3 linked regions of the Mus musculus genome follow. The protein of the gene in region 2 interacts with the protein of the main gene of each other region in a pairwise test. Links are inferred from orthologs where the notes say so. Each region holds a gene or a part of one and is shown on either strand. Other genes may lie near its edges. The genes, in order: Ttc23l, Mia2 and Cchcr1.

Evidence for each region.
Region 1: the proteins of Mia2 (region 2) and Ttc23l interact in binary tests that used the Homo sapiens proteins (3 or more experiments, as listed by UniProt). The two-hybrid records come from large-scale screens. The link is inferred for Mus musculus from reciprocal best matches to the Homo sapiens genes MIA2 and TTC23L.
Region 3: the proteins of Mia2 (region 2) and Cchcr1 interact in binary tests that used the Homo sapiens proteins (3 or more experiments, as listed by UniProt). The link is inferred for Mus musculus from reciprocal best matches to the Homo sapiens genes MIA2 and CCHCR1.

Annotation. Positions count from the first base shown.
Region 1 is NC_000081.6:10,527,531-10,537,675, reverse strand, and holds part of Ttc23l (tetratricopeptide repeat protein 23-like), read left to right. Parts: intron 1-14; coding exon 15-140; intron 141-3,867; coding exon 3,868-4,045; intron 4,046-6,976; coding exon 6,977-7,085; coding exon of another isoform or gene 7,086-7,093; exon of another isoform or gene 7,094-7,264; intron 7,265-10,145.
Region 2 is NC_000078.6:59,095,766-59,105,910, forward strand, and holds part of Mia2 (melanoma inhibitory activity protein 2 isoform 6 precursor), read left to right. Parts: 5' UTR 1-34; coding exon 35-149; intron 150-5,705; coding exon 5,706-5,839; intron 5,840-8,709; coding exon 8,710-8,796; intron 8,797-10,145. UniProt on the Homo sapiens protein: Plays a role in the transport of cargos that are too large to fit into COPII-coated vesicles and require specific mechanisms to be incorporated into membrane-bound carriers and exported from the endoplasmic reticulum.
Region 3 is NC_000083.6:35,520,331-35,530,475, reverse strand, and holds part of Cchcr1 (coiled-coil alpha-helical rod protein 1), read right to left. Parts: intron 9,602-10,145; coding exon 9,298-9,601; intron 6,031-9,297; coding exon 5,867-6,030; intron 5,778-5,866; coding exon 5,642-5,777; intron 5,500-5,641; coding exon 5,389-5,499; intron 5,217-5,388; coding exon 5,067-5,216; intron 4,097-5,066; coding exon 3,986-4,096; intron 3,868-3,985; coding exon 3,761-3,867; intron 2,408-3,760; coding exon 2,295-2,407; intron 2,135-2,294; coding exon 2,089-2,134; coding exon of another isoform or gene 2,085-2,088; exon of another isoform or gene 2,068-2,084; intron 1,937-2,067; coding exon 1,788-1,936; intron 1,699-1,787; coding exon 1,510-1,698; intron 1,432-1,509; coding exon 1,330-1,431; exon of another isoform or gene 329-1,329; coding exon 177-328; intron 75-176; coding exon of another isoform or gene 33-74; coding exon 1-32. UniProt on the Homo sapiens protein: May be a regulator of keratinocyte proliferation or differentiation.

The sequences.
Region 1 (10,145 bases), on a different chromosome or scaffold from region 2:
CTTGACGGTTTCACTGGCAAACAGGCCTACATCCACCTGCAGAAAGCAGAGAGAAATATGAAGGAACTGAAAGAATTAAACAACGGTAACATTTGTGGAATCCAAGTCTCGGAGAAAGACCTAACCATTGCTTTGGGGAGGTAAGATCAGCCATAAATAAGCAGAAACTTTCATGAATGAGATCTGAGGTTCTTTCTGGTTTGTGGCCTGATAAAAGGGGGCTGTGTTTAGACAAAAAGCCCAGAGGTTACCTAATAATAAAAGAGGTCACATTTATCAAATATGGATTCTGCAAGCTTACTATATACGCTGCCACGTTTAATCCTCTCACCTACCATGGAGGTGATCAGTATGATTGTGGTTTCCTCAGAGGAACAGCAAGAGACTGAACTGGCTAAGCAATTGGTATAATGCAGTGTCTCTCAACCTACATGTCAGATATAAACATTATAATTCATAAGAGTAACAAAATTACAGTTAAGAAGTAGCAATGTGCTGGGTGGTGGCGGCGCACACCTTTAATCCCAGCACTTGGGAGGCAGAGACAGGCAGATTTCTGAGTTTGAGGCCAGCCTGGTCTACAGTGAGTTCCAGGACAACCAGAGCTACACAGAGAAACCCTGTCTCATAAAAACAAAAAAAAGAAGGAGGAGGAGGAGGAGGAGGAGGAGGAGGAGGAGGAGGAGGAGGAGGAGGAGAAGGAGAAAGAGAAAGAAGAAGGAAGAAGAAGGGGGAGGAGGAGGAGGAGGAGGAGGAGGAGGAGGAGGAGGAAGAAGAAGAAGAAGAAGAAGAAGAAGAAGAAGAAGAAGAAGAAGAAGAAGAAGAAGAAAGAAAGAAAGAAAGAAAGAAAGAAAGAAAGAAAGAAAGAAAGAAAGAAAGAAAGAAAGAAAGAAAGAAAGAAAGAAAGGAAAGGAAGGAAGAAAGAAAGAAAGAAAGAAAGACAGCTGAGAACCACTGGTTTAAGGTAACTTAACTTTTACATATTAGATCTAAGGTCTGAACACACACACACACACACACACACACTCACACACACACTCACACACACACTCACACTCACACACACACTCACACTCACACAACACACTCACACACATACACACACACACACACACACACACACACACACACACTACATTACTTTGAGATTGATTATTTTTCTCAGTGGCCTCTAACTTTTACCATCAAATGTGGCATCCTAACAGGTAAGAAATGAACACTTAAGATATTTAATTGGAAATTATCAGAGCAATGTACATGTGTGCATTTTTTTAAGGAAAGTTGTGTTCTGTGTAGAAACAAAGTTCACAGGATTTGTTCGAGCCAGAACAAGACTTAAAACTGTTTTGAGTTAAGGATCCTCTGAGAATCGAGTATTAGAAAGGAAAGTGGGCCCATCAGATTAGCAGGAAAAAGAAATAAGGAGAGTTTACTGTTCCCCAGATTTTTCAAATATCTTCTCAACCTTGAAAGAAATCTCTTTCCAAAAACTCTAAGTACTTGGCACGGTAGGGCAGATGACCGAATGGTAAGTAAATGAAACCCAGGTGTCACATCTGCCTCCTAGAACACATGAATCTCAAAGGCAAGTGGGACACGGTGGGGACATGGTGGAATGTTCTCAACAAAATCAGACTGTTGACAAGTCCACAGGGCCATAGTTAGAATCTGGTGGATGTCTCCTGCTGTCACAGAGGGCCGCGCTTGAAGGCTTCTGCCCTCTGTGAAACGAAGCTGTGTTTCCTTTTCACAACCAGTCCTCGAGTGTGCTTTGCCTATTCACACCACAAGCTTTGAGTATCAGTTCATGTACATACTAAGTGTTACAATGCCTTCTAGGTTCTTATCACACACCACACCCTGTTCTGAGTGCTTTGAAACTGTATCCCATTCGGTTCTTGCTAAAACCTATAAGCCTGGTCTACAGAGTGAGTTCCAGGACAGCCAGGGCTACACAGAGAAACCCTGACTCAAAAAACCAAAAAAAAAAAAAAAAAAAAAAAAAAGCCCAACAACAACAAAAAAAGAATAGGCATTCTGAATATTTTTATTTTACAGAGAAGAAAACGGGGCACAGAAATACATACTAACTGAGGTGAGAGAGCAAGTTGAAGTGCTTGGCTTCTCACCGAGACGTCTGAATTCATAGGTCATTCTCTGCACCTTGCTGTTGTGTTTGATATGGATCAAATAGATAATAAAGACAAATACCTCGAAATGCCTTTTCCCACTGAAGGGTGGAGGCAATAAGGCGAGATTGTTCAGGCCAAACAGCTTCCTAACATCTCTCTCATAGCTCTTGGTGGGAGCCTCCCATTCTTAATGTCTAAAGAGTAAGGGAAACACCTTTGGTCAAAAGAAAACTTGTCTGCTTGATCGAAGAAATGACTGTGACAAAGAATGGTCAAACAGACAGAGAGCCTGCCACTGCTCTTTGTCACTCACTCTCATGTTCAGAAGAAGATAAGTCGTCCAGAAATGGCTGGTTCATAGGCCTCTTGCTCTCTTCAGGTGCAAATCACAAATATGCAACCCCGAGTCCTTTTTTTTTTTTTTTTAATTGGGGTAAGATCTCAACTCTGTTGCCTAGGATGCCCTCAAATTTACAATAATCCTCCTGCTCCTGCCTCATGAGTGCTGGAAATACAGGTGTGGGCCATCATATTTAGCCCAGAGTTTTGGGGGTTTACAAACCCAAAGGCTTTAAGCTGTAACAGCTAGTCTCATGGCTTTAGAAGCCAGTAGTTGGTAGCTCTAGATGCTCAGGCAGAGTCATACTGCTTTAGGTTTTGAGTTCCGTCAACCTTCAGCAGACAGTAGTTCATCTCCTGAGCCTCAGGTGCTAGGAACCTCACTCAGCCTTCAACACTGATGGCTCTCTAGCTCCCCTTTGTGATCAGGCTTGAAGGTCTTACCGTCCGTCCGTTTGCAGAGCCTCGTGACCTCTACAGCCTTAGCTCTCCATTTCCTAACCTAGGCTGTGCTCTCTGGAACTCTTCAGACACCTTTTTTTTTTTTTTTCCTTTTCTTTCTTTCTTTCTCCCTTTCTTTCTCCCTTTCTCTCTTTCTTTCTTTCTTTCTTTCTTTCTTTCTTTCTTTCTTTCTTTCTTTCTTTTTTTGGCTGATAGGTAGTCTCAGGCTGAGTATTACAGGGTCTTAGTGTCTTCTATTGTGATAAAGAGAACAGCTGGGTAATAAGAGACAATTCTGGAGAAGTCTCTATTGGGGCCTAATTTTGCAGGCCAGGATAAGCCCCAGAGAGAAGCCTCCAGCCTGACCTGAAAAAAAAAAAAAAGTAAAAAAAATTGTCTGCTTATGAGCCAGAAGAGGTGCTTAGCATGCTTGTACATGGCTTCTAATTCCATAGTCGCAGCCTGACACGTATACTTGCTAGTTCTGCCAGTCATGAGTCTCCCATGTAAACCTATCACGCGTGTTAAATATGTCTGCACTGTTAGACTCAGCAGCCTGTCAGGCACAAGCTTTCTGCTTGTCACTGGGGCTGGCACTTCACCCTACCTGCAATGAAGACTGTTCTTAACATGACAAGATCCACGGTCTACGCTTATGGGTAAATTATCCCGTCTTAGGAATTTCTGAGTGACATTTTCCCCCATGTGCGTTTCGATAGAAATTATACAAGAATAAACCACATCCATGGGTTAAGCCAATGATGGTAGTCTGTGGGATCTCGTGGGCAAAATTCAGGATAATGGGAGCTTATTTATAGCAAGCCTGGATCTTGAGCCAGTTGTCCAGATGACTGGGCTATGAAGACAAATTCTTTACTTCCTGGAATTAATTCCGTATGTGTCCGCAGAGTGGGTGACCTCTGAGTAACTTCCACCTTCGATTCTTTTCTCGCAGAGCCTCCTTGGCTATGCACAGGATGAACCTAGCCCTGGCGTACTTTGAGAAGGCAATCTGCGATGTTATCCTTGACAAGGGTCACAACACGTCAGAGCTGATTAGTTTGTACGAAGAAATCGCTCAGATCGAGCAGCTGAGGAAGAACCACAAACAGGCCATCCAGTACTTGCAGCAGGTTGGTTCGTTGGCAGGGTGGTCTTGATTGGCTCCGTTGGTTCTTTGGCAGGGTGGTCTTGATTGGCTCCGTTGGTTCTTTGGCAGGGTGGTCTTGTTTGGCTCCGTTGGTTCTTTGGCAGGGTGGTCTTGATTGGCTCCGTTGGTTCTTTGGCAGGGTGGTCTTGTTTGGCTCCAGGTCCTGTTGCTTCTCAGAACAGGGCATTGAGGTGGATCCCTTATTTTAACCCTAACATCTTAAGGGGGCAGAATCAGTTTCATGTTTACCTTAATTCTTTTTCAGTCCCATACAACAGCCTCCAACCTAAAAGTCCTGAGCAGAGGCCTCCAACTCTACAGAACATATATGTACTGTGAGCTGAGCAGGACATACCACATCCCTTCCTAGGCCTTTCGTCTTTGTTAGTGCTGGGAGGAAACCAAGCTTAAGTCTATCCCAAGGGGGAAAGAAAACACAGAGGCGCTGGACTCCAAGAAGACAAAAAGGGCAGACTGGTGAGAGAGTTCAGAGGTGTTTGACATGGAAGTCTGGTGACCAAAGTTTAATCCCGGGAACCCATGTGAAAGCAAAATAGGACAGTAGGTTCCACAGAGCAGCCCTCTGGCCTCCACAGGAGTCTGTACATGCGGATTTGCCCCCCCCACACACACACAGAGAGAGAGAGAGAGAGAGAGAGAGAGAGAGAGGGAGAGAGAGAGAGAGAGAGAGAGAGAATAATAGTAATAATAATAAATAAAATATTTTTTAAAACAACAGGGGTCTTTTAATTGAAAACCCATGATAGTTTGTTACAATGTGTCAGTTGCCCTTTAAGGTCATTGCAGATGGGTTTTATTTCCAAGTCTAAGGTTAAGGTCACAACACTTGGAGATAACTAACTGACAAATACTCAAACCAAAACATAGGCCTTACGATATGAAAACCATTTAAGGGCCTGGAGAGATGGTTAATGGTTAAGAGCATTGACTGCTCTTTCAGAGGTCCTAAGTTCAATTCCCAGGAACCACATGGTGGCTCACAACCATCTGTAATGGAACCCAATGCCCTCTTCTGGTGTGTCTGAAAACAGCTACAGTATACTCATATAAAACAAACAAACAAACAAATAAAAATCTTTTTAAAAAAGAAAAAGAAAAATGACTGGTTCCCTATTTAAAAAAGAAAAGAAAACCATTTAAGGCATTTCCATTTAAAATGCACTTTAAAATGTTAGTAAATTCATCTCTCTCTGCTGGATAAAAGGCTGCAGTGCTGCTGGGAGCCTCAGAGATCCTCACATGCGGGATTTGGTGCCCCAGAAAAGTAGTAGCACTGTCCCGCAGTCTATGTGAAAAGCCAGCTAGCAAAGCAGAGATGTGGCAAACAATTTGACAAGCCAAGATTATGAACACCAGGCAATGGGGAGAAACATTGGTACAGTGGTTCTCAGCCTTCCTAATGTTGTGACCCTTTAATACAGTTCCTCATGTTGTTGTGACCCCCCCCCCAACTATAAGATTGTTTCATTACTACTTCATAACTGTAATTTTGCTACTGTTATGAATCATAATGTAAATATCTCACATGTGGAATATCTGATATACAACCCCTGTGAAAGGGTCGTTCATGACCCGTAGTTTGAAAAGCATTGCATTAGAGCATTCTACCCTCCCTGGTGCCGGAGTCACTGCCTATGGAGAAAGACATGCACTTTGAATTTGAGGATCTCTTAAAAGTGTGGCCAAATTAGAATGAAGAAAGGAATCAACATAAATGTTTACAGCCACACCCAAAAAAGGAATTAAAAATTTATATAAAATGTTTTAACTATGTGCACCCAAGTATGTATTTCTTTTAATCCACAAGCAAAGACATCAAAAAAAATAGGCATCGTTGTGTAATCTCATTTTTATGGATCAAAAAAGTAAAGCGCAGAGGTAGAACTAACTCCACTGAAGTTATATGGCTAACAAGAGGCAAAGTGGAGACTTGGACTCAGAAAATCTGACCCAGGAGATTTTGTTAAAGAAGCAGTGTGCACACAATGTGCAGCATCCCGGCTCCGTAGCAGGTGGAGTGATAACAGCCCCTCTGTCTCCTTGAGATAAGCATGGGTTTGGCCAGTGAACTGCTATGCATGGGTGGCTCTTTCCTTGCTGCTGGCTGTGAGTCTGCTGTTTCCACTCTTCTGTCTTTCTAAGTGGCAGTCCTTGCCATTTAAATACGGATAAGATGAACAATACCACTAGCAATTATTATCTTACACTAATGGCTACTGAATGCCAGGTGGTATTGTAAGCACTTTACATCTGTTAATAAATTTAACATGTACAGCAACTGTTCATGACAAATATTGTTTCCATCATCTTTTTCTCCTATATTTGAAGAAGTTAAAGGACCACCCTGTATCATGATAAGTGGCTAAGCAGGCCTGGAGCTCTTAGCCCCTCCGTTTTTTGACTGTCTTTGACCCTGAACCCTTGTGATGCTGAGCTAAGGTCACAGTTACCTTCTGCTGGAGACCAAGTGGAATTAATGGGGCTGAGATTTACTAGCCACATGATAGACAGCGCCCAGCATTTACATAAGGTGCCTCCTTTAATGTTTCATGAGCCCTAATCACTAAGAAGCATACATTCCATCTGCATGAGAAGGTGAAGTGACTTTTTCAAGAACCATAGTAGGAAGTGACAGAGCTGGAACTCACAGTCCACTCTCATCCAAGTCCATGTTTAGCTGAGTTGGCTCCCAGTCAGCTAGCAAGTCTTACAGCTGCTGAAAAGGGCAGTGAAAGATTGTCACTGGGCATTGAGCTTGTCATGATTTCCAGACTGTCACTGAGTATTAATCTTGTCATGGTTTTCAGACTGTTGGGTACTGAGCTTGTCGTCATGGTTTCCCGACTGTCACTGGGTATTGAGTGTGTCGTGTTTGTTTTTTTTTTCTCCCCAGGCCTATTCTATCTGTGTTTCTTCGTTTTCTGAAGTCAGCCCCCAAACTGCTGAGGCGAGTGCTTTACTAGCGAAAGCGTATGCCATGTCTGGAGCATCCGAGTACAGGGGTAGGTAGAGGAGGTGGTATTGGCTTTATCGTCTTGTCCCAGTGACATGTGAGAAGCAAGCTGACAAACGATCTTCATATAAGTAAGAGCTTGCAGACAGCCACTCTCAATGGAAAGATAAAGCTGGTCACGATCCTGTGCAAAATCAGTTCCATAATTACACGTGATGATACACCTGATAACGTCTTCTGGAATTAACTGAGCACCAGAGCCAACGATTTCCTGTATTCCCTTACAGTGTCCACCACATTCACCTAAGCTGTAAAGATCACACGCGCTGTAAGCATGGCTTGCCGAAAGGCTCAGTAGTGAGGTGGCGTTGACTCCTCTCCCCCTGCTCTCAGCCTTGACTCCTTCCTTCCACCCTTACAAGAGAGAAGGATGGACCAACAAGAATTTCCTCGTCCTGAATTCACAGAGAATGTACTAGGATTTTTAGAGGGAAGCTAGGGATTTAATGGCTTCTCTGTCCAGTGAGGTTGTGGGTGTGGAACTGGAGAGACAGCTGAACTTGTGAGGTTCCACAGTGTGGCCTGGGCAGCCCAATGGCCATGGGAATGTGTGGTTAAAGGAACTCTGCTCTCTCTTGTCTCCAGAGAGGAATGTGGGCTTTGTGGAGAATGTGAAACGTTCCATGCCTTTCCCTTCTGCTTATGAAAGGGACCCACGCCGACGCGTGCTACTTTACAGTTGGAGAAAGGGCGAGGAGGCAGAGAGAGCCAGAACTGCAGAGGAAGTCTGCATGATGGTCTTCTCCTTTTGTTTTCCTCTGCTACTAAAAAAAAATTTGTTTTAAAGTTTGGTATTTTATTTTCTCAACACTGAATGATCATTGAAGACTTTCTGAGTTGGAGTTTTCCAACTAATACTTCTCTCCTTTTAAGATTTATGTATACTCAGTAGTGGGCCCATTCCACGTATAACAGATTTTCACAATTTGCAATGATAAGAAATCAGATATATTTGTAACTGTGAAATATTTAGCTTTTTATGTGAGAAAACTTCAATTCTAAGACAACTTACATTTTTCTCAATAATTTTAAGTACAACATGAATATTTATTTATTTTCCCTCTGTGTGTTTGCATGCTCACACTAGTGCAAAGGCATGCTTGCATGCATGATTGCACATGTGAATGCCATGGTACACATGTGAAAATCATAGGACAACTTGAAGGAATCAGTCCTTTTTTTTTATCATTTGAGACCTGGGGGTTGAACTCAGTTCACTGGGCTTAAAAGCAAGCTCCTTTGCCACTGAGCCATCTTGCCAGCCTCCTTACATACTTATTTTTAATATTAAAAATAAATGATGTAAAAATGTACATTGGAGAAAAACCAGTCTTTTCAAAATAAAGTGCTAGAAAAACTGGATTAGCTCACATGAAAGCTTGGGACGAAATCCCTATCTCTTCTTCTGTAAGAAAACTAACTCCAAACCCTTTATCCTTTGATCACTAAATACCTTTATAAAAGACAAAACTTTCAAACTGATAGAGGTCTAAGTAGGGAAAACACTTCAGGATACTAGCATAGTGAGCACTTTTGGAGTGTGCCTCCATTCACTCAGGTAACAACATCAACAAATGGCAAATGAGATTTCATCACACTGAAACACTGCAGAGGAAAGGAAAAGATTGAAGAGGCACCTGTCTTTGCTAGCTCTGCAACACATGGGATTAATATCTAGAATATAAAAGGAACTGAAAAAAAAAAAAGACAAAACCCAACCAACTCAATCCTAAATGAAATGCTAAGCCAAGAAGCAGGTCTTGAGCAATGAATACAGATTACAGAACGTGTTGGCTTCGTGGCAGTGAGCAGAGCTACCTTCCAACTGGCTGATAAACATGAAATAAGGTTCAACATCAGTAGCAGTCGGAGATGTGCACACAGAGCTGAATTGAGATTCCCTCACCCCAGTCAGAAGTTACGTGAAAGCAGGCTTTCTTTAAACCCCAGTAAAGCCAGAAAAGTTTTAAAATGTATATCTTCAAGCTTTATAAGTAAGTAAATTAAACTCCGGCTAGATTAAAACTTTAATCCTCCAAAAGTAAAAAGTTTCATGGATAAATATTAGTTCTAGAATAGAAAGAATTAAAACGAATTAAAATGAAACTCCAAGAAAGGGCTTTCTAAGTACATGTACACAACAAAAGAAGCTGAGAATTTTAATTACAAAAAGGTCTAAAACTCTATCAGGCAAACAGACAAGAACAGATGCTGGCAAGGATGTAGACAGTACTGGTAGAGATGGAAATAGAGAGACGTGCATGTGGGTGTTTATGCCAGTGCTATTCCTAATAGCTAAGTTATGAAACAGTCTAGGTGTCCATTGACAATAGAACGTTTTCAGCCATAAAAAAGAATGAAGCTATGTGCAGAATACTAGATATGACCAGAGGTCATCATCTTATGTGAATTGAGTCAGTATCAGAAAGACAAGTTTTATGTATTTTCTCCTATAGACTCATAAAATACGTACATAGTTTGTGAATGTAGAAACAAAAGTGTCTAAGAAAACAAAGGGGACTGTGGGGAGGGTACAGGACTCAATGGGGAGAGAGAGAGCCAGACGCATTAGCTACAGGTCTCATTGCTGTGACAAAATACCCAACAGCAGAGACTGGAGGAAGAGCTTGTTTGGGTGCACCGTTTCGGTTGAGTGTGTTCCATCCTAGCAGAGAATGTGTGGTGTCCTAGGGCAGGAACAGGAGGCATCTGGTGTCCACTGCATCTGTAGTCAGGAAGCAGGGAGCTGGTGAATGCCTGTCCTCAGCTCTCCTTCTTTTAATCTATCCTGGACCCCAGGCCATAGAGTGACACTGGCCGTGTTTAGAGCAGGCCTACTCATTGCAACTAGCCTGGGTTAGATGATTCCTCACAGGTGTGCCCAGAGGTTTGTTTCCATGGTGATCCATAGGCAGGTGGGAAGGATATGCTCAAAGAACATTACAGACTTGCACGAGAGAAGTCTTATTTAACCCAGTACAAGAAAATTTTTTAAAAAGTTTAAAAATTGTATATTTGAGTTTTTATTACTAAATTAGACTTCAGTTAG
Region 2 (10,145 bases):
CGCTTGTCCAGGATCCTTGGTGGCTTGTTTAGGCATGGCGGAAGTCAGTGTTCAAAGAATCCTTCTTTTGGTTGTTTCTCTGGCCAAGTGTCTGGAGGGTACAAAGTTGCTGGCACACCTTAAGAAGTGTGGTGACTTGGAATGTGAAAGTAAGTTCGCTTTTCTTATTCTCTCTTACACTGAGTTCTAAAATCACATTAAATCTCACGGTGAACTTGTGGGGCAAAAAGTCAATGTTAGTAGTATTGATGGCTATTTGAATTATAAAGTATAGCTTCAGGCGAAAAAGGGAATTCTAGAAGCAAAGCATTTTGTGGCAGCATAATTATAAATTTTACACATTTAATAAATTTAATAATTTATATGTTAACATAAGCATAAAGACAAAAATTACACTGATAGAACTATGGTAGAGATAGTATTAATTCGTGTGTCAAAAACTAAATAACCAGCTTTTTAGCCATTTTTGTTTTGTTTTGTTTTGTTTTGTTTTGTTTTGTTTTGTTTTAAAGATAATTGAGTTGTTTGGAAAGCCATCGGGCAGTTTGTTAACTCACTGTCGATGAAGCTCATATGGGTTAGTTTCTATTTCACAATCAGAACTTTCCGATTCTCATGAGTTTCCCCCAAAATGTTTTTACTTCAAACCATCATTTTGAAAACTGTTTAGATGTCCAAATTTTATCAAATGCTAATCATTTGTGTCAGTTTATTATGTAAAAATGCTAAAATAAGTGTTTCAATGTGTGTGTATGATGTATAACATTTAATATGAAACTTTCTTAAGTCTCTATGAAGAGACATTAATTTCTACTTTGTTTATTTTTATTTTATATATATGGGTATTTTGCATGTATGTATATATATATATATATATATATATACACACACATACATACATATACATACACCACATATGTGCCTAGTGCTCATAGAACCCAGAAGAGGGCATTGGATTCCCTGGAACTTGAATTACAGACAGTTACGAGCTTCCACATAGTGCTGGGAACTGAACGTGGGTCTGCAAGAGGATTAGAGGCTCTTAACCACTTCGTCATGTCCCCAGCCCCAAGAACTTAATTTTTTGGTATCTACATAACTGCAAAATAATTTTATTCTGCCAAGTATAATGGCACCAGGAGGCAGAAGTAGGCAGAGCTCTAGTTCCAGGCCAGCTTGATCTACACAATGAGTTCTTTGTCTCAAAAGGACAACAGGAAAAAAGATATCCTCATCTTAGAGTTCCTGAAAAAATTCCTATCTTTTCAAGATGAAAATTATGTCTAATTTTGCAAAATGTAAATTAAAATGCAATATGTGACACAAAAATGTCTAAGACATGCAAGTATATTTAATGATTTATTTACCTCTGTTTTGTGTGTATTAGTGTATGCCTCCACGCATGTAAAGGCATTGGGTGTGTGCCTGGTGCCCCAGAGGCCAGAGAGCATTCTGACTAGACTAGACTAGAGCCACAAATGACAATGAGTCACAATGTGGGTGCTGGGAATTGGATGCAGGTCCTCTAGAGGAGCAGCCAGTGTTCCCATCTGCTGAGTCACTTCTCCAGCCCCAGGAATTTTTGTTTTGTTTTGTTTTTGTTTTTTGTTTTTTTGTTTGTTTGTTTTGTTTTCGAGACAGGGTTTCTCTGTGTAGCCCTGGCTGTCCTGGAACTCACTCTGTAGACCAGGCTGGCCTCGAACTCAGAAATCCACTTGCCTCTGCCTCACAAGTGCTGGGATTAAAGGCATGTGTCACCACTGCCCAGCAGAAATATTTTTATAAGTAAAAACCATGTGCGTTTATCTTTCCTTCCTTCCTTCCTTCCTTCCTTACTTCCTTCCTTCCTTCCTTCCTTCCTCCCTCCCTCCCTCCCTCCCTCCCTTCCTTCCTTCCTTCCTTCCTTCTTTCCTTCCTTCCTCCCTTCCTCCCTCCCTCCCTCCCTCCCTTCCTCCCTTCCTCCCTTCCTCCCTCCCTCCTCCCCCCTTCCTTCCTTTCTTTCTTTAACTGTCCCTCTGTAAACCAGGCTGGCCTTCATCTCATAGAGATCAACCTGCCCCTGGCTCCCGTGCTGGGATTAAAGGCATATACCAGAGTATGCTCTGCCAACTACATGGTATTTTATAGCAAAGATCCTTTAATTTTCCCTCTAATACTGCTTTTTATATTTTAATAGTATTTTTTTTTACTCATTCTTTGGTCATTTCATACATTGAAATGTGCTTTGATCATGTCTTTCTATATCCCACTTCCAACCTGCAGGTCGTACAGCATCTTCTCTCCTAATTCATAGATTTAAAAAGATTTTTTAAAAAGTTATTTTAAAAAATGTATTCATTTTATTTTATATGTGAGTGTTCTCCCTCCCCGCCTCCCCCCAGTTTCTTTGTGCAACCCTGCTGTCCTTGAACTCACTCTATAAACCAGGCTGGCCTTGAACTCAGAGATCTGCCTGCTTCTGCCTCCCAAGTGCTGTTATATTTGAGTATTTTGTCTGCATGTATGTCTGCATGCCATGTGCATGCTTGGTGCTGGCAGAGGCCAGAAGAGGGCATTTTGGAAGCCCCTGGAATTAGAGTTTCAGATAGTTTTGAAGTACTGTGTGAGTGTGGAGAAAAATGATTCTCCCCCGTTGGGAGCCATGAATTCAGTAGCTCCTCCGATAGCTGTGGTGGCTGTGAGCCCCCTCCCTGCTCTGTGCTGGAATGTCAATGGCTTGAGCTTGTAGACGTCTTTGGTAGGCAACCACAGCTTCTGTGAGTCTGTAAGCCTGTCATGGTCCAGAAGACATCGTTTCTAAAAATACCAAATATGACTAGTTTAAATGTAAACATTTCACAAGTGCTATTTTTTATGAGTAATCATTTTTTCTTAACCTTTCAGAAAAGTCATTCAGTGTATTGAGAATTTGTTACCATGGTACTTTGCTTTCCCACTTTGCGTTATTATCAGCACTTTAATAGCCTTAGAGTCCAACAGAAATTCAGATTTGGAGTAACTTACAATGCAATTTTGACTCTTATTCAAGGATTTAATCAGTATGATTTTATGTTTTACACATTAGCACTATAATATTTATATGATATGCATGTTACTTTAGGCATCAAAGGCTAAATCAATCATACATAGTTTACTCAGTTACTGAGGGCCTACAATGTCTCTAGGGGTATGTGTTCTAACACAATGTATTTTATTTTATTATTTTTTTAAAAAGATTTATTTATTTATTTATTATATGTAAGTGCACTGTAGCTGTCTTCAGACGCACCAGAAGAGGGCATCAGATCTCATTACAGATGGTTGTGAGCCACCATGTGGTTACTGGGATTTGAACTCAGGACCTTCGGAAGAACAGTCGGTGCCCTTACCCATTGAGCCATCTCACCAGCCCAGTCTATTTTATTACTTTTAAAATACTTTGTGGGGGCTGGTTCACTGTAGCTGAAGACAGCTACAGTGTACTTATATTAATAATAAATAAATCTTTAAAAAATAAAGTAATAAAGTGAAATGAAAGCAGTTTCTTTTTCTGTAGGAATAGTCATCTTATTTAATAACAACAAAACAAATCAAGGAGGAAGAAGGTGATGAAATTGTAATAATGACAGATAATGCCAGAGTTCAGACTAGACAGGAAGCAACACATGAGTTAAACATGAAGAGAGGAAGAATAGAAATAGAAGCTTAGGATAAGGACCATGATGTTGCAGAAAAAAAAAAAAATCTCAGGGCAGAGCTAGGCAACCAGAGCTGTATGACCCACCCTTTGAACCTCAACTAAAGACTCAATCGTTAGAATGAAGTGGGGTGATTTACCCTATAGATATGCATTGAGGATTCAACAGAATATAAATATAATTTGGAAACAGAAAGAAAGCCAGAGTCTCCTACACACCCAAGAACAGTAGTGACTTACTCCGAGAACAAGAGATTTGCAAGCTGGAGTGTGTTCCAGCCTTGAATCTGTGCAAAGGAGAGGTTGCTTAAAATAGGGAAGGACAGGGCCTTCAGAGAGAGGGACCTGCCTTTAAGAGTGCTTACTGCTTTTTCAGAGGGTCTAGGTTCAGTTCCCAGTACCCACAGGGCAGCTAACAACCACGAGTTCCAGAGGATCTACTACCCTCTCTGGACTTAATGGGCACCAGGCTGACATACAGTGCACATACATACACGCAAGCAAATCACTCAAATACATAAAGTAAAAATAATATAAAAACATCTTCGAAATGTAAAATAAAATAAAGGGAGAGCCTGTGAGAGGAGTCAGAGGGTACAGGCACTTGCTGCCAAACCTGACAACCTGAGTTTGATAACCAGGACTCACAGGACAGAAGGTGAGAACTGACTCCCAAAAGTTAGTTGTACTCTGAAATGTGTACTACATGTACACACACACACACACACACACACACACACACACACACAAATTTAAACTTAAAAATTAGGTAAGTGGGGCTGGAAGATGGCTCAGCAGTTAAGAGCACTGACTGGGCCGGGCATGGTGGCACATGCCTGCACTCGGGAGGCACAGGCAGGCGGATTTCTGAGTTCGAGGCCAGCCTGGTCTACAAAGTGAGTTCTAGGACAGCTAGGACTATACAGGGCTATCTGTAATGGGATCCTATGCTCTCTTCTGGTGTGTCTGAAGACAGCAACAGTGTAGTCACGTACATGAAATAAATAAAAAGATCTCTAAAACAATAGGTAAGTGGGCTCAGGTTATGAATAATCTTCATATGCCAAAAACATTTGGGCTTGAATTTGTATATAGTATAAAGTATATTTTAGTTTTCCTTCCTTCCTTTCTTTCTTTTTTGTTTTTGTTTGTTTTTTAAAGATTTATTTATTTATTATATTTACATATATAAGTAAGTACACTGTAGCTGTCCTCAGATACTCCAGAAGAGGGCATCAGATTTCATTACGGATGGTTGTGAGCCACCATGTGGTTGCTGGGATTTGAACTCAGGACCTTCAGAAGAGCAGTTGGCGCTCTTAACCACTGAGCCATCTCACCAGCCCCAGATTTATTTATTATTATATCTAAGTACACTGTAGCTGTCTTCAGATGTACCAAAAGAGGGCGTCAGATCTCATTACAGGTGGTTGTGAGCCCCATGTGGTTGCTGGTATTTGAACTCAGGACCTTCAGAATAGCAGTTGGTGAGCCATCTCTCCAGCCTGTGTTGTTTGTTTTTTGAGACAGAGTTTTTCTGTGTAGTCCTGGCTGTCCTGGAACTCACTCTATAGACCAGGCTGGTCTTGAGCTCAGAAATTTGCCTGCCTCTGCCTCCCAAGTGCTGGGATTAAAGGTGTATGCCACCAATGCCTGGCCTATATTAGTTTTTGAGAACATAACCAATATTGACAAACGAGGATTTCAAACTATTATTATTAATATTATTGAAATATATCAAACTCCTGACATTCTCCTCATCTTCATGAGTGCTGGTGACTACAAGTGTGAGCCATCAGGCCCACCTCTTACTTCAAAACTTAAAGGATGGATTGAAGGAAAGCAAAATGGATGGAGAAGTCAAATATTATGGTGGTATATATCTATAATCTCAGCAGCAGGAGAAGCTGAAGCAGGAAGATTTTAAGGTTATGTTCAGCCTGGGATACATAGCAAGACTTACTATCAATAAGTAAACGAGAAGCAGTGACATTTTAAAGTGTGAGCTTTCCTGTATGTGTCTATACAGCTTTGATCAGCCGAGTCTTAGCCCTGAGAGATTACACAGGACCCGACTGTCGGTACCTGAACTTCACTACGGGAGAAGAGATATCTGTTTATGTTAAACTTGGAGGAGACAGAGAAGATTTGTGGGCAGGAAGCGTAAGTATTTAGTTTTAAGAACTAAACGCAGAATAAATGTCCAACGCAGACAAGGATACGTGCTGTTAAAGGAACTCTTATTTAACAACTTCAACTCATCATATTTAAGCAAACAAAAAAAGTGATCACATGCATGCCTTTAATCCAAGCCCTCAGGGTGTCTGAGCACAAAGCCAGCCTGATCTACATAGCACGTTACAGACATTTAGTGATTGCTCGACAATTTCTATAGAAGAGGTTTTTGACCCTGAGATGAGGACTAAAGGAGGGCCTTGCAATTATTTTTTACACAACCCACATAATTTTCAGCGTAGAGGACATTATTATTTAGAAGGCATGCTGACAAATGTTATGGCAACCTCAGCATCTCTGTGCTATTAGTGACTGAGTTTGAGAGAGACTGGGAAGGTGTTTTATCAGATTCCAAAGCATGTCTGCCTGAACAGAGAGAGGGCTGAGGTGTGTTGGACAGACACGTCAGCAGAAAGGTTGGTACGGTAGGGAAGAGAGGTGTATAAACTTTTCATGGAAAATAAAATATTAACTGGTTGATCCTTTTATTTGGCCAAAGTAAAAGAAGCCCAAACTATCTCTTGGGATAATAATTCATGTTTTCAGTTGAAAAGATTTATATCTCTGGTGTGTACTATGCTTTGTAACGATGGCATGCTTTGATAGATGAGTTTACTTCCAAGCTGATAGACTCTCACATCGTTCTCATGCTGTGTGTACATCAGGATCTTCCATAGTGTAGCCTCTGTGCTCACTGTCTGAATGAACAGCTTCGTTTTTGAGACAGTTTCACATAGCTCAGGTCATTGTTAAACTCCCAATGTCTGTAGCCGAGGATGAGTCTGAATGTCTCTCTTAGTCAGGGTTTCTATTCCTGGACAAAACATTATGACCACGAAGCAAATTGGGGAGGAAAGGGGTTTATTCAGCTTACATTTCCACATTGCTGTTCATCACTGAAAGAAGTCAGGACTGGAACTCAAGCAGGTCAGGAAGCAGGAGCTGATGCAGAGGCCATGGAGGGGTGTTCTTTACTGGCTTGCTTCTCCTGGCTTGCTCAGCCTGCTCTCTTAAAGAACCAAGACTACCAGCCCAGAGATGGCACCACCCACAAGGGGACCTCCTCCTTGATCACTAATTGAGAAAATGCCTTACAGCTGGATCTCATGGAGGCATTTCCCCAACTGAAGCTCCTTTCTCTGCGATAACTCCAGCTTGTGTCAAGTTGACACAAAATTAGCCGGTACAATGCCCCATCCTCCTGAGTGTTGATGTCGCTGGCATACAACAGTACCCATCTGAAGGCACACACTGCATTTGAAACTGTCCTCTTCCCACCAGGGGATGTGTAACTAAACCTTTCCCATGCCAGATTTGACTTCTCCTTATTGCTTATGATGGTTTTAAAATACCGGTCTCTGTTTTGAATGCATCACAGAAATCTGACACAGGTATAAGAAAATGACAGAGTATATGTCATGAGAAACAAAGAAAACAATTTTGATTTATTTGTTTACTAAGTATGAAAATAATAATTCTACACAAAACAGTGTTTAATGGATAAAGTCTTGGGGAAAGTCTCAGCTGCCATTAGCATTTGGTACCTTAAGTGATTAGTCTATTTGCTTCTCTGCTTTTTGTCTAAGCAGAAATAGAGATGGTTAGTCTGTGCTCGTAACTGTTGAAGAACTCACACTGTGGACTCATAGACTATTTCCAAATAGTTGTAAATGAAGACTAACTGGAGAGCTAGAAAAATCATATTTAATATGTGATGGTGTTGGCTCAGAAGACAGAAAATGTTTGTGAAACTTTAATAGGAATAAGAAGGAGGGGCTCTGAGTGGTTGGATGCTGACCTCACTCACAGGGGGGAGGGGGGACATCCTACATGTGCTTGAACTGGGTCAAGAGAATCTGTTACTAGGTTAGCCCAGAAAAGCCAAAAGGAACTGCATGCTCTCTTGGGGACACATGGACCTTAACTACCTTGAGAAATCTATCTGCCACTTCCGGGAGTCTAAATTCCTTTCTTGAATGTGACATCTTGACACCTCAGAGTTTGCAATCGTTCTGTCTTCCTGAATTGTCACCTGAGTTGTTCCTTTTTGATATCTCACATCTAAACATGTAAATCTGCATAACCTAGGCAAGGAAGGTCCTAGAGCACGGGGGTGAGGGTGGGGGATGGGCTGGAACAGTGGTCCAGCGGTGAAGAGCATGTGCTACACTGCCAGAAGACCTGGTTCCCAGTAACCACATGACAGTTCACAACTGTCTGTCATTCCAGGTCTAGGCCATCTGACAGTTTCTTCAGGTCTCCACAGGCACTACAGAAAAAACACCCATACACATAAAATAGAAATATATAAATCTTGCCAGACAGTGGTGGCACACACCTTTAATCCCAGCACTTGGGAGGCAGAGACAGGCAGATCTCTGTGAGTATTGATGCCAGTCAGGTCTACACAGTGAGTTTCAGGACAGCCAAGGCTATAAACAGAAACCTTGTCTTGAAATACACACACACACACACACACACACACACACACACACACACACACACACACGAGAATAACAGGAGTATATAACACAACAATGGGGCCTCACTCCTGTTCTTGTTATTGTTGTAGGTTTAGTTTGTCACCGGGGCATGAACCCAGAACCTAAGCAAGAACTCTATCACCTAACTATATCCCCAGTCTCCACTCATGATTTTTAGATGGCATTTTTGATAGCCAATTAATGTTTTGTGATTTAATATAGCTAAAAGCCAAGGTCACAGGACAAAATGAGGCCCAATAGCTATTCTTGCCTCATTCACTTTTCTCTTAAAATCTTTGTTCTTTGTTTTGATAGAAAGGAAAAGACTTTGGATTTTTTCCCAGAGATGCAGTCGAGATTGAAGAGGTGTTCATATCTGAAGAAGTCGAAATGCCAACTAAAGTGAGTAAATTCATTTTCAGCAATTTAGTTGAGTTTAAAAGTTCTTGACAAAAAAATGGTTTCCTTGATATAAATGTTCACTGGTTGTGTACCTCACTCAGTGAACCACAAAGGACAGTTATTAAGAGCTTGTCCTTGGCATCGTTTGGGTATGTGAATACAATGAGATAAAACAGACTTGATGACCATTAAAGACTTTCCTTTCAGAACAAGTAACAGGCAAAAGAGTACAGTGGTTAAAAGTGTGAATTCTGGAGGAAGTGTAAGTTTAAAGCTGGACTCAACCACTTACTGAGGCTGTAGGCATGCTTAAATTTTATCACCTGAAAACTAGGAGTCGTGAGTGCACATGACGTAGCACAACCTCCAAGGGACAGAGGAACAAAAGAGCGAACAAAGGCCACAGAACAGACGTGGCAGCTATTATCAGTTACAGTCACTGATACTGTTGTCCTACTCGGACCATAGGTTATTTCTCCTTCCCAGGTCTCACTCTGTACAAACACTTTGGCCACTGTTTTATTTTTTTAAATCAATTAATGTTATGATTTTATGTGTATGAGTGTTTGTCTGTATGTATGTCTGTGTGCCACATGCATGCCTGATGTCTGCAGAGGCCAAAAGAGTGTATCCTATTCCCTGGAACTGGAGTTATAGACTGTTGTGAGTAGCCCTGTGAGTACTGAAAATTGAATCTAGGTCTTTTGGAAGAACAGCTATTGCTTTTAACCCCTGAACCATCTCTCTAGCCATTGGCTTTTGGAATTCTTTTTTTTTTTTTAAATTTTCCTTTTTACTTGTGTGTGTGTTCACGCACATGTGTGCCCCGCTGGCCTCTGCCCTACTGCTATTGGAATTCTGAATAAATTCCAGATGATGTTGAGCTTGATAATAAAAAGATAAAAAGGCATCAGAAAGTGATATTTTAATGTATGAATTTGACTTGATGCTTTAATTCAGATTCCAGGTTTTACCGCAAGCAAGGTCATCATGATATGGAACTGTTTGCTTCCACACACTTGTCTGTTGGCCCTGGGATTAGTTGTTCACTTGCTGCAGGGTAGTTGGCCCTGTCACTTCTCTGTACTTTATCTGTAGCACATTCTCTTCTCTGCAGTTTCACTCTTGTAGACCGTATCCTAGGCATGACCATCCATCTCCTTTTTTCACAATCCTATGGAATTATCATTGTGCATTAGCGTGCACCCTGAGGGTAAGAGGTGAGCCTGTGTAGGTCAGAGGACAGGTTTGTGGAGTCAGTTCTCTCCCTCCATCCTTGTAGGGATCGGAGCAACAGTCCCAGGCCTGTAGAGTAAATGCTCACGGAGCCATGTCAGCAGCCAGGCATC
Region 3 (10,145 bases), on a different chromosome or scaffold from region 2:
ACTCCCGAGGGAAGCACTGCTAACAGGCGCTGCTGCTTGTAACAGAAGAGGAGACCCTCCTGCTTCAAGGTGGCCTGGGGAGGAGAGGGTGAGCCGGCCGGCCCAGGCCAGCCACCCGCCCCTGCACACCTTACTCACCCACCAGCTACCGTGACTAGCTCCCTGCTGTCCCCTACCAGCATCAGGTTCTTGTCCCTCTCCAGCTCCTGCACACGCCTCGTCAGCCGCTGACCCTCTTCCTTCCGGGCTTCATCCTGCAGGCGCCTGAGCTCCTGGTTGCGCTCCTTTTCCTGAGTGGCTTTGTGCTGGATCTGGCGCAAGGAAACCACTAAGGAGATGGGAGGGGGTTAGCCCAGAGCCCCAAAATGAGACTTGAGCTCTCAACTCTGTCTCTCAGGGACTCTTCCACACCACGGGTGGGCTGATGTCATGGGATCCTGAGCTCTCTGAGCCCTAAGTACTATCTCCATCCCTGATGCAAGCTCCTTAGGCAAGATGTGGACAGGGGCGCCGGAGTCACATCTCCTATAGTTAGTGCTCATGTGACCTGTTGATGTTGTTTTGAGACAGGTTTCCCTATGTTGTCCAGGCTAGCCCTAATCTATCCTGCCTCTTATTTTCAAGTGCTGGAGTGACAGGCAAGTGCCACCATGTGTGGCTAGGGCTCATGTTCTTACGACGCTAGGTATCACGATTAGATAATTTTCTGGCTGTGGGGTGTGCAGCTAAACCATCATGTCTGCTGCAACTTACACAACTCGAATGCCTACTCGTGTAACCATGGGAGCACAGGCGAGCCAGCAGGGGTGTTGACTGTGTTCTACTCAGGGAAGACATGGACATTCATCCTGCTCCTCTAACTCATCCAAGTGTTAAGTTTCTGGGGAGGGCAGTCGCCAGAAGTGGGGACACAGCAGTGGCGTCCGTTGAGGGGCAGTGATGCAGGCCTGGAGCCAGAGTTGTTCCTGATCCGGTGCTGGCTGCTGTGTGTTCACTGCATAAGAACTCATTCATGTCAGTCCTACGTTACTTCGCTACATACACTTGTCAACAAAAAGCTTCAAAAAAGGTAGGTGTGCCGGGTGTGGTGGCGCACGCCTTTAATCCCAGCACTCGGGAGGCAGAGGCAGGAGGATTTCTGAGTTCGAGGCCAGCCTGGTCTACAGAGTGAGTTCCAGGACAACCAGGAGAAACAGAGAAACCCTGTCTCGAAAACAAACAAACAAACAAACAAAAAAACAAAAACAAAAAAACCAAAAAAGGTAAGTGGGCTGGGGAGGGGTTACCAGCCCTGTGTCTCAGTGCTGCCTTCTTCCTGGCACATCTCACCAGCCTTGGCCTGCTCCCTTCGGGCCTCGTTCAGCCTCCTCTTTGTGTCTGAGAGCTGTTCCCGAAGCCGAGTTTCCACCTCGGCCACCTTCTCTTGCAGGGCTGCAGGTGAGGGTACGAGACAGTGTCAGGGAGAGCTGCCCATCCCACAGGGTCGCACACACCGCCACGCCCCCACACCTTGCCCGTAGATTTCCTGCTGCTGTGTCAGCTCCTGACGGAGGCTGGCAGCTTCCTCCGTGCTCTCCTGCTGGCCCCGACGTGCTGCCTCCAACTGCTGCCCAACGCTGGCCAGGGATTCCTGGGCACGCTGCAGCTCCTGCTCCAGCTGCTGGGCCACCTCTATCAACCGTCGGCGCTCGACCTCCCCTAAAAGGAAACCGTGGTCACACAAGACCTCTTGCTGGCACCTGAGCCTCAGATGGTAGAGAGTCTCCTCCAGCCCCACGCAGGCATACCTTGCTCCCGTGCCCGGCCCACCTCCTGCTGGATCAGGTGGGCACTCAGCTGCAGCTCTGCATCCAGGCGGTTCCGTTCTTCCCGTAGCTGTTCCAGCTCAACGCTCAGGTCTGTGTCCAGTGGGGGTGCGGCTTCCGATGGGGGAGAGCTGGGATAGCAATGACAAGAGTCAGAGAAAATTCCCCCAGCAGCTACCTGCTTGGTGCCTCCACCCCTCCTTGGTCCCTCTGGGTCCTAGCAGCCAATAGATTGCCCCCAACATCCATACCCCCCCTTTACCTCAACTAGTCTGGACTTTACCTCTCCACGCGCAACTGAGCAAGAGCCACCTTTCGAGCCATCAAACCTGAGAAGAGAGGACAGGGAGATGAGTATACATGGACAGAGGGTGGTGGGAGCACAGGACTGAGTGGCAGTTACCAAGGCAACAGAGGATAAATGTGAGGTTAGATCCAGGGCTAAGAGCAAGAGGGCCAGGCCGGAAACCCCACAGTTGCTCTACGTACCCTTAATGGTGTGGACCTTCCGGACAGCATAGCTGAGTCGGTTGCTGAGGCTGGGAATCCGGGCTACAGCCTGATCCATCCTGGTCATGGTGCTTTGGAGTTTGGCCTGAGTGCTGAAGAAGATGTAGGCTGCTCACTGTCCTCCCTCCCCTCATCCCTTCAAGACCTGCAGGGTCTGATGCAGAGGACACATCTGTCCTGAAGGCCCTGCAGGGTCTGGTGCAGAGGACACATCTGTCCTGTCCTGTTACATGAGCGGGGAGGTGGGTTGTTAAGTAGCAAGCAAAGGAGAAACGGAAGTCACCAGGAGAGGCAGTGCCTTGGCAGACCCTGCAGGTTAGTCAAGCTCCTTAGCAAACCTAAAGAGAATCTAAGTGCTTAAGCTTGGTAACTGTCAGGTTAAAAACATCCAGCTGAAAATGAACTCCTGCCACAAAACCTACAGTGTCTAATTTGGTCCCTTACAGTCTTTTTGTATGGGTGGAAGAGGATGGGAGACGATTAGGGTTAAGACAGGGTGGCTAGAACTTCACCATCATGCTTGGCCTGCAATGTATATAATAACCTGCAGTGAGGAACCATTAAAGTCCATGGGCTCAACTCCTACCTGGATCTACATTCTGTAGCCCAGGAAAGGGCTCAGCAACAATTCTACAACAGCGGGTACCAGAGGCTGACTAAACTCTGAGACCTGTACCTGTAGGCTACCACTCAGGCTCCGGGCACTTGGGACCTGACACTATCTGCCTCACCTGGGGCATACGGTGTTCAGAGCCTAGAAGGGCTTTCTGGTGACTTTTATTAAAAACCATGTCTGTGACCTGGCAGAAGGTAAAACCCATGCACCACACCCCAACGCCCTCCTGGAGGCAGGCACCCCATATACAACACTCCAACACCCTCCTGGAGGCAGGCACCCCATACACCATACCCCAACATCCTGCTGGAGGCAGGTACCCCATAAGCAACACCCCAACACCCTCCTGGAGGCAGGCACATGCAGTGCTTTGAATCTTCCAAACTAGTTGGTTCTTCCAAACTAGTCTGACTCTGTGCAAGTTAAAAAGTTTCATCTTTTTATTCTGGTGCCAGGGATTGAAAGCAGAGATACCTGAATGCTAGGCAAGCGCTCTACTACTGAGCTACAGACCAGACCAGCTGTACAATTAGGGTGCCTCCCCCAGCCAGACCAGGCGAGTGTGCAAAGGAAGGAAGGAGGAAGAGAGGGAGGAAGGACTGCACATGGCTCCAGTTCCCATCCCTGAGCTCTGAAGCCACAGCCCCGCCTAGCTGTCCTACTTAGCTTCAGAGCGCACTAGACTGAAGTGCAGGAAGCAGGATCCTCTGCTGTGGCCCAACCACAGCTCAGTTCACTGCGGGTGATGCTGGTGTGATACAGAGGTGACACCCCTCCACCCTGCACCCTCCTGCCCCTCTTCCCCGAGGCTCTTCCAGGCAACAGATACCTGTTCATAGCACCGACCACGAACTTCAACTGCTCTTCAGCAGAGGCTATCTGCTGTTCCTGCCTCCGCCTGGCCTCCTGAGCCTGATCCAGCTCCATCTGCAGGCTCTGGGAAGGATGCAGCTTTGTGTGTACTTTTTCTTGTAGACCTCCCTCCCTGGCACGTGGCCCACACACCCGGGCTAGGGTCTTCTTCACCCTCCTCCCTTAGGGAGCACCCTCAGACCTTGGTGCTCATCCGCTCCACCTCCACCTGTGCAGTTTTGTCTTGCAGGGCACGCTGCAAGATGGCCTGCTCCTGGCTTTGGGAGGTCACTTGCTCCTGGAGCTCTGCTACCTACGGAAGCAGAAGGAGCTAAGCAAGGAAATGGAGAGCCAAAGCTATGGGAACACGGGTGGGAGGGGAATGAAGGAGACAGGGCGGGAGTCTCCGGAGTCGGGCTGCAGAGACGGCCCAGTGGCTAAGAACGCTGGTTGTTCCTGCAGAGTTCCATTCCCCTTTCCCACATGATAGCTCATAACCATCTGTAACTCCAGTTCTCGGAGAGCAAACACCTTCTGACTTCCGTGGGCACATGGTACACATACATACACGCAGGCAAAACATTTATACACACAAAACAAAATAAGCACACCTTTTATTTCTTTCTAAGACAGGGTTTCACTATGTAGCCCTGGCTGTCCTGGAACTGACTATGTAGACCAGGCTGGCCACAGATTCAGAGATCCTCCTGCCTCGGCCTCTGCCTCCTAAGTGCTGGAATTGAAGTGTATCACCACACCCAACTAAATTAATAAGTACTAAAAAAACAAAAAGAAAATAAAAAACCCGGTGTGGTGGGGCGTGTCTTTAATTCCAGCATGAGGGAGAGACAGGCAATCACTTATAGGTCAGAACAGTCTACAGAGTGAGTTCCAGGGCAGCCACAGAACATAGAAACTCTGTCTTGAACCTTCTCTCCGACTCAGGATGCACAAGCCCACACTTTGGGAAACCCTCCTGACCCAAGCCTTCCCCTGACCGTGCCCGTGGCCATGCCCTGGTGGACGTTGTGGCCTCAGAGGCCGTCCCTGACCATCCTATCCATCCACCTCAGTCTGTCACCACTGCTTTTCCGCAGCACTTATGACAATGTGACGCCTACCCATCTTTTTACGTATCCTTCTAGAACTCAAGCTCCGTGAGAACGGGGACTCCTCGGCTCGGGGCTCTGTGCCCTGCACGTGGCAGTCACCCCGAGACTAACTGTCATCACTGTGAGAGACACGGGGTGCGGGATGACAGTGACAGAGACGCAGCCCCTGACCTGGATCCTCAGCTGCGACGTGGAGTCCCTGTGCTGCAGGTCCTGGGCTTTGAGCTGCACCATGAGGGCAAATACCTTCTCCCGCCAGTTGCGCAGCAGCGAGCGGCACTTCTTAGGAAACTCGGGTTCCAAGGGATCTAAAGGCTGAATCTGTACGGGGGAAGAAGGGAGATGGATGTTCTAAGAAAGTGGGGACCTTTGTCCTGCCTGTCCTGCCGTCCACAGTGAGGAGTTTAGGGGTCTTGGTGGCATACCACCCACTACCCCCAGAAAGGGAAGGCCTGCAGCAGGGCAGGGTCTGGAAGATGAGGGAGGGTCCTACCTTCCTGGTCAGCTCCTCTTCCTGCAGGGCGAGCATGTGTGTGAGGCTCTGTACTCGTACCTGCAGTAACTCCACGGTGGCCTGAAGGTCAGCCCGATCCTCCTTCAAGTGCTGGGAGAAGGAACTCCACCAGTCAGGATCTCCATGCTACCTCAGGCTGTGAGCCGTCTCAAGGGCAGCATGGCTTCCCCTCTAGGGCACTGTGCTCTCTCCTCCCAGGTCATGCCCTGATCCCTGGAGTCTTTTCTCTCACCTTCAAGGTGTCTAGAAGCTCCTTTCGTTCCAGCTCCCATTCCTGGCTAGGAAACTCAGGAAGAACTTGTTCCCCCACATACTTCCTCAGACTCTCCACCAAGGTCACCTGAGCTTCCAGCTCTTCTTGGGTCTTGCTAAGATTGAAACAGAAATGGACCAGTCCTCGGTAGAACAGCCTGGCAATGCCGCACCCCTCACTAACAGCCCTGCGCAGCCCACTGACCTCAGCTGGTTCCTGAGCATGTCCGCCTCCTTCTGGGCCATAGCCAGCTGCTTGGCTTCCCCTGCCCGTTTCGTTTCCAGGCTATTCAGAGACTTCTCCAAGCCCTCGGCCTTGCTGGCCAGACTGTCGAGAGCCTTCTGGTGAGCCTGTGTCAGGGAGGACAGCTGTGGAGGAGGAGCATGCTCAGAGAGGGCCAGCCTGAGGGGCTGGAGAGCTCAGCAGGGCAGACCCAAGCTCAGTTCCCAGCACCCAACGCGCAGTTCAGAGGATCCAATGTCCTCTTCTGGCCTCTGAGGCCCTCACACATGTGGTATACACTCACTGACACAACACACACTCACAAGCATAAATAAATCTTCAGGGGGCAGGGCGGCTCACCCCACCTTGGGGCCTTGTCTCTCAGAGAGCCATCTAACTGATCATGCTGCTGTAAGCAATGGAGGAAATCTTGGCCTCTGGTTCTCCACAGTTAGTTTTAAACATCAGCTCCTGCCAGTTCACTTCCCGGTCTCTCCGTGTTCATGCTAACAGCGAGAGTAAAGGACCCCACCTCATGCCTGAGTCTTTCAGGCTGTAGAGACTTGAGTTAGGAGCCCCAAAACCTTTGTGAAAAACCTAGACAGGCCAGCATACACCTGTAATCACCCCTGCTCTGTGGGATGGAAGGAGACACGGGCAGATCCCTGAAGCTCCTGGTCTGGCCTACATGATAAAGTTGCGGGTCAATAAAAGACCCTGTCAGTCTGGCATGGTGGCGCACACCTTTAATCCCAGCACTTTTTTGTTGTTGTTGTTGTTGTTTTGAGACAGGGTTTCTCTGTGTAGCCCTGGCTGTCCTGGAACTCACTTTGTAGATCAGGCTGGCCTGGAACTCAGAAATCCATCTGCCTTTGCCTCCCGAGTGCTGGGATTAAAGTTATGTGCCACCATTGGGAGACAGAGGCAGGCAAATTTCTGAGTTCGAGGCCAGCCTGGTCTACAGAGTGAGTCCCAGGACAGCCAGGGCTACACAGAAAAACCCTGTCTCGAAAAACCAAAAATAAATAAATAAATTAATTAATTAATTAATTAATTTAAAAAAAGACCTTGTCTTGAGTGAAAGGAGCTTGAGACCCACACCCGAGTTTGTCCTCTGACCCCCACACATGTGCCAGGCACCCTCACACCCTCACCCACAGACCCACGCCTGAATGTACACACACTCCTCAGTGCATGGTGGGAACAAATGTCTTCAACCCCACGTGCTGGCTCCTCTTTGGTCAATCTGACATGAGCTGGAGTTATTTGAGAAGGGTAACTCAGTTGAGAAAATGCATCCATTAGATCATGCATCCATTAGATCATCCTGTAGGCAAGCCTATGAGATATTCTCTCTGATGCGTGATTGATTTGCAAGGACCCCGGCCCACAGTAGGATGGTACCACCCCTAGATAGGTGGTCCTGAGTTACATAGGAAAGCAGGCTGACCAAGCCATGAGGAGCAAGCCAGTGAGCAGGGCCCCTCCATGGCCTCAGCTTCCCTCAATGGACTAGGAGCAGGGTGAGATAAGCCAGAAGCCCTTCCCTTCCTTCCCAAAGTTGCTTTCTGTCAGTGCTTTATCAGAGCAATAGAATTCTAGTACTTGGGAGGCTGAGTTGGGAGAACTTCCTCAAGCTCAAGGCCAGCCAGGGCTACAGATCAAGACCCTACCTTAATAGCCCTCTACCCACAGAAAACAGATTTGCTACACCCACAAAGCCTACTGCAGGAACAGCACACTTGCCGAGCTCTCTCCTGTGGCTCTCCCTGCTCAGGCGCTGTTCAACCCTCAGGGAGACCCCTCATCTGCCCTTTCCCTGCTGGCAGCTTTCTGAGCTCTAGCAGCAGGTCGGACCCTACTTCTGTGTGATCATGAGGATGCTCTGGGGAGGGAGGGTCTTTCTCACTAGACCCCAAACAGCGCCAGGGGCAGCAGAGCAGATGGAGCTGTGGAGCCAATGGTAAGGGGCATGCCCTGCTTCCTCCTACAGGGTAGGTCAGCCCTGCCAGCCCTGTCTCCATTACCAGTATCAAGTTTGCAAAGTCGAGCACAGGTGTTTTTAGACGTACAAACCTGACTCTGTTATTGCCCTGTTTTTGTTTTGTTTTTTCTGAAGCTTGGTGTGGTGTCGCACACCTTTGATCCCAACACGTGGGAGGCAGAAGCAAGAGCCAGGGCCAGCCAGACAACAAAAACCTTTCCTTTTCTGGGGACACGGGGGGGGGGGGGCTGTACCTGTAGCCTTGCGCAGAGAGCAGGCAGGCACTCTGCCGCTGAGCTACAGCCTCAGTTACTTAGAACCTGCCAATGGCTATCTGACTTTTTTTTTTTTTTTTAAGAATTATTTATTTTGCCGGGTGTGGTGGCGCACACCTTTAATCCCAGCACTTGGGAGGCAGAGACAGGCGGATTTCTGAGTTCGAGGCCAGCCTGGTCTACAGAGTGAGTTCCAGGACAGCCAGGGCTACACAAAGAAACCCTGTCTCGAAAAACCAAAAAACAAAAAAAGAATTATTTATTTTATATATATGAATACACTGTAGCTGTCTTTAGAAATACCAGAAAAGGGCATCGGATCCCATTACAGATGGTTGTGAGCCACCATGTGGTTCAGGACCTCTGGAAGAGCAGCCAGTGCTCTTAACCACTGAGCCATCTCTCCAGCATCTTTTGACATTCCAGCAGTCTATCTCACTCACAATGTCTGTCTAGAGTCGACTTCTGAATATGGTACCACTAATAGAGGTTATCGAACATCAGAGTAGGGCGCTTGCTTAGTCAAGCGACAGATTCAGAGAGCCTTCCTACGGGTAACTCACAGGCAGCAAGGCTGTCCCTGCTCCAATATTACGAAGAAGATACTCTCATCTTTAAAGCCTCTCTTCCTGAGCGCTCCACCAGCCTGGGGTGGCCCTCTCTGTCCCTAGACTATGCTTCAGCACTTTCCCAGTTGCAACTGGCTATAGCTGCATTAAGTGTGTCCCATGCAGGCAGGCTATGGGCGCCATTCATGAGAGCAGACTCAGACAACTTGAATCCCTAGCCAGATCCTACCTCAAAGACGGCAAAGAGAAGCACTGGGTAGCCTGACTGAAAAAAATCTACCTTTCCCAGTGTTCCCTGGGACCCATACCACTGCCCCATCCTACCCCGACCCCAATCCTTCCCTCCACCACGTTCCCAGAAGGGTACCTGGCACAGAATATGGAGAAATACTACTTCTGAGGGTATTGAAGGTTACGAGCTCACTGACTCCCAAGTAACAGGTGCAGCCTGAGGGAAACCAAAATACCCAAGTATTTTGGGGGGCTTCCCCCACCTCCACGGGTCTGCTGCTCCCGAGGCTCCTTGCAATTTACTGGACGGCGTGCCCTGATATGCTTCTAAGCCCCTCCCACCCCCGTGTTCACCTGCTCTTGGTGCAGGCTCTGAATCTCCTCCAGCTCCTTGTGCTTCGCCTCTTCCAGGTTCTTCCGAACCATTTCAGCTCCGGCCAAGGCGGTGCGCAGGCCCTCGGCCTCAGCTTGGCCGGCCTTCTCTGCCACTGCCAGAGCATCCAGCTCCACGGCCTGAGTCTCCAACCTCATCTTCTGCTGCAGCGAGGTCTCCCGTAGGGACCGGACTTCCTCCTCCAGCCGCCGCAACTCTTGGAGCTGCCGTGAGATCAGCTCGGCCTGCTGGCTCAGGGCACTGGAGAACCCCAGCTCCAGAGACCTTCAAAGACAGGAGGGGAAAAGGTGAGCTGCTGGGAGGGTGGAAGCAAGGGGCTGAGCTGAGGCAGGAGGATATATTCATCTACCACACCACTGTCAATCAACCACCAAGTCCCTACTAAGCACACGTGGTCATCCACTTTCTGGGCTCAGTCGACCTAAGGGCTAGTGAGATCAGGCGAAGAAGAACACCATCTCTCCAGAGATCCACACATAAGCAGGCAGATGGGTTAAACGTCAAACAAGCACATCGGAGGGCTTCAAGTTTTGAGTTGGAGGATGTCTGAATTCTAGGTGAGGGCAAAGAGCTTCTGCTACCAAGATGGTGGCAAAGCCAAGTGATTTTTTTTTTTTTTTTACACTTTTGTTGTTTCATCTTGTTTGAGACAGGGTCTCATGCAGCCCAGGCTGACCCAGTACATAGCAGAGGCTAGCCCCAGACTTGGGATCCTCCCTGTGCACCAAGGCATGCATGTGTGCGCACGCATATCCACATGAGTAAGTATATAAATGCAACAGAAGGAAAAGGAGGAGGGGGAGGGGAA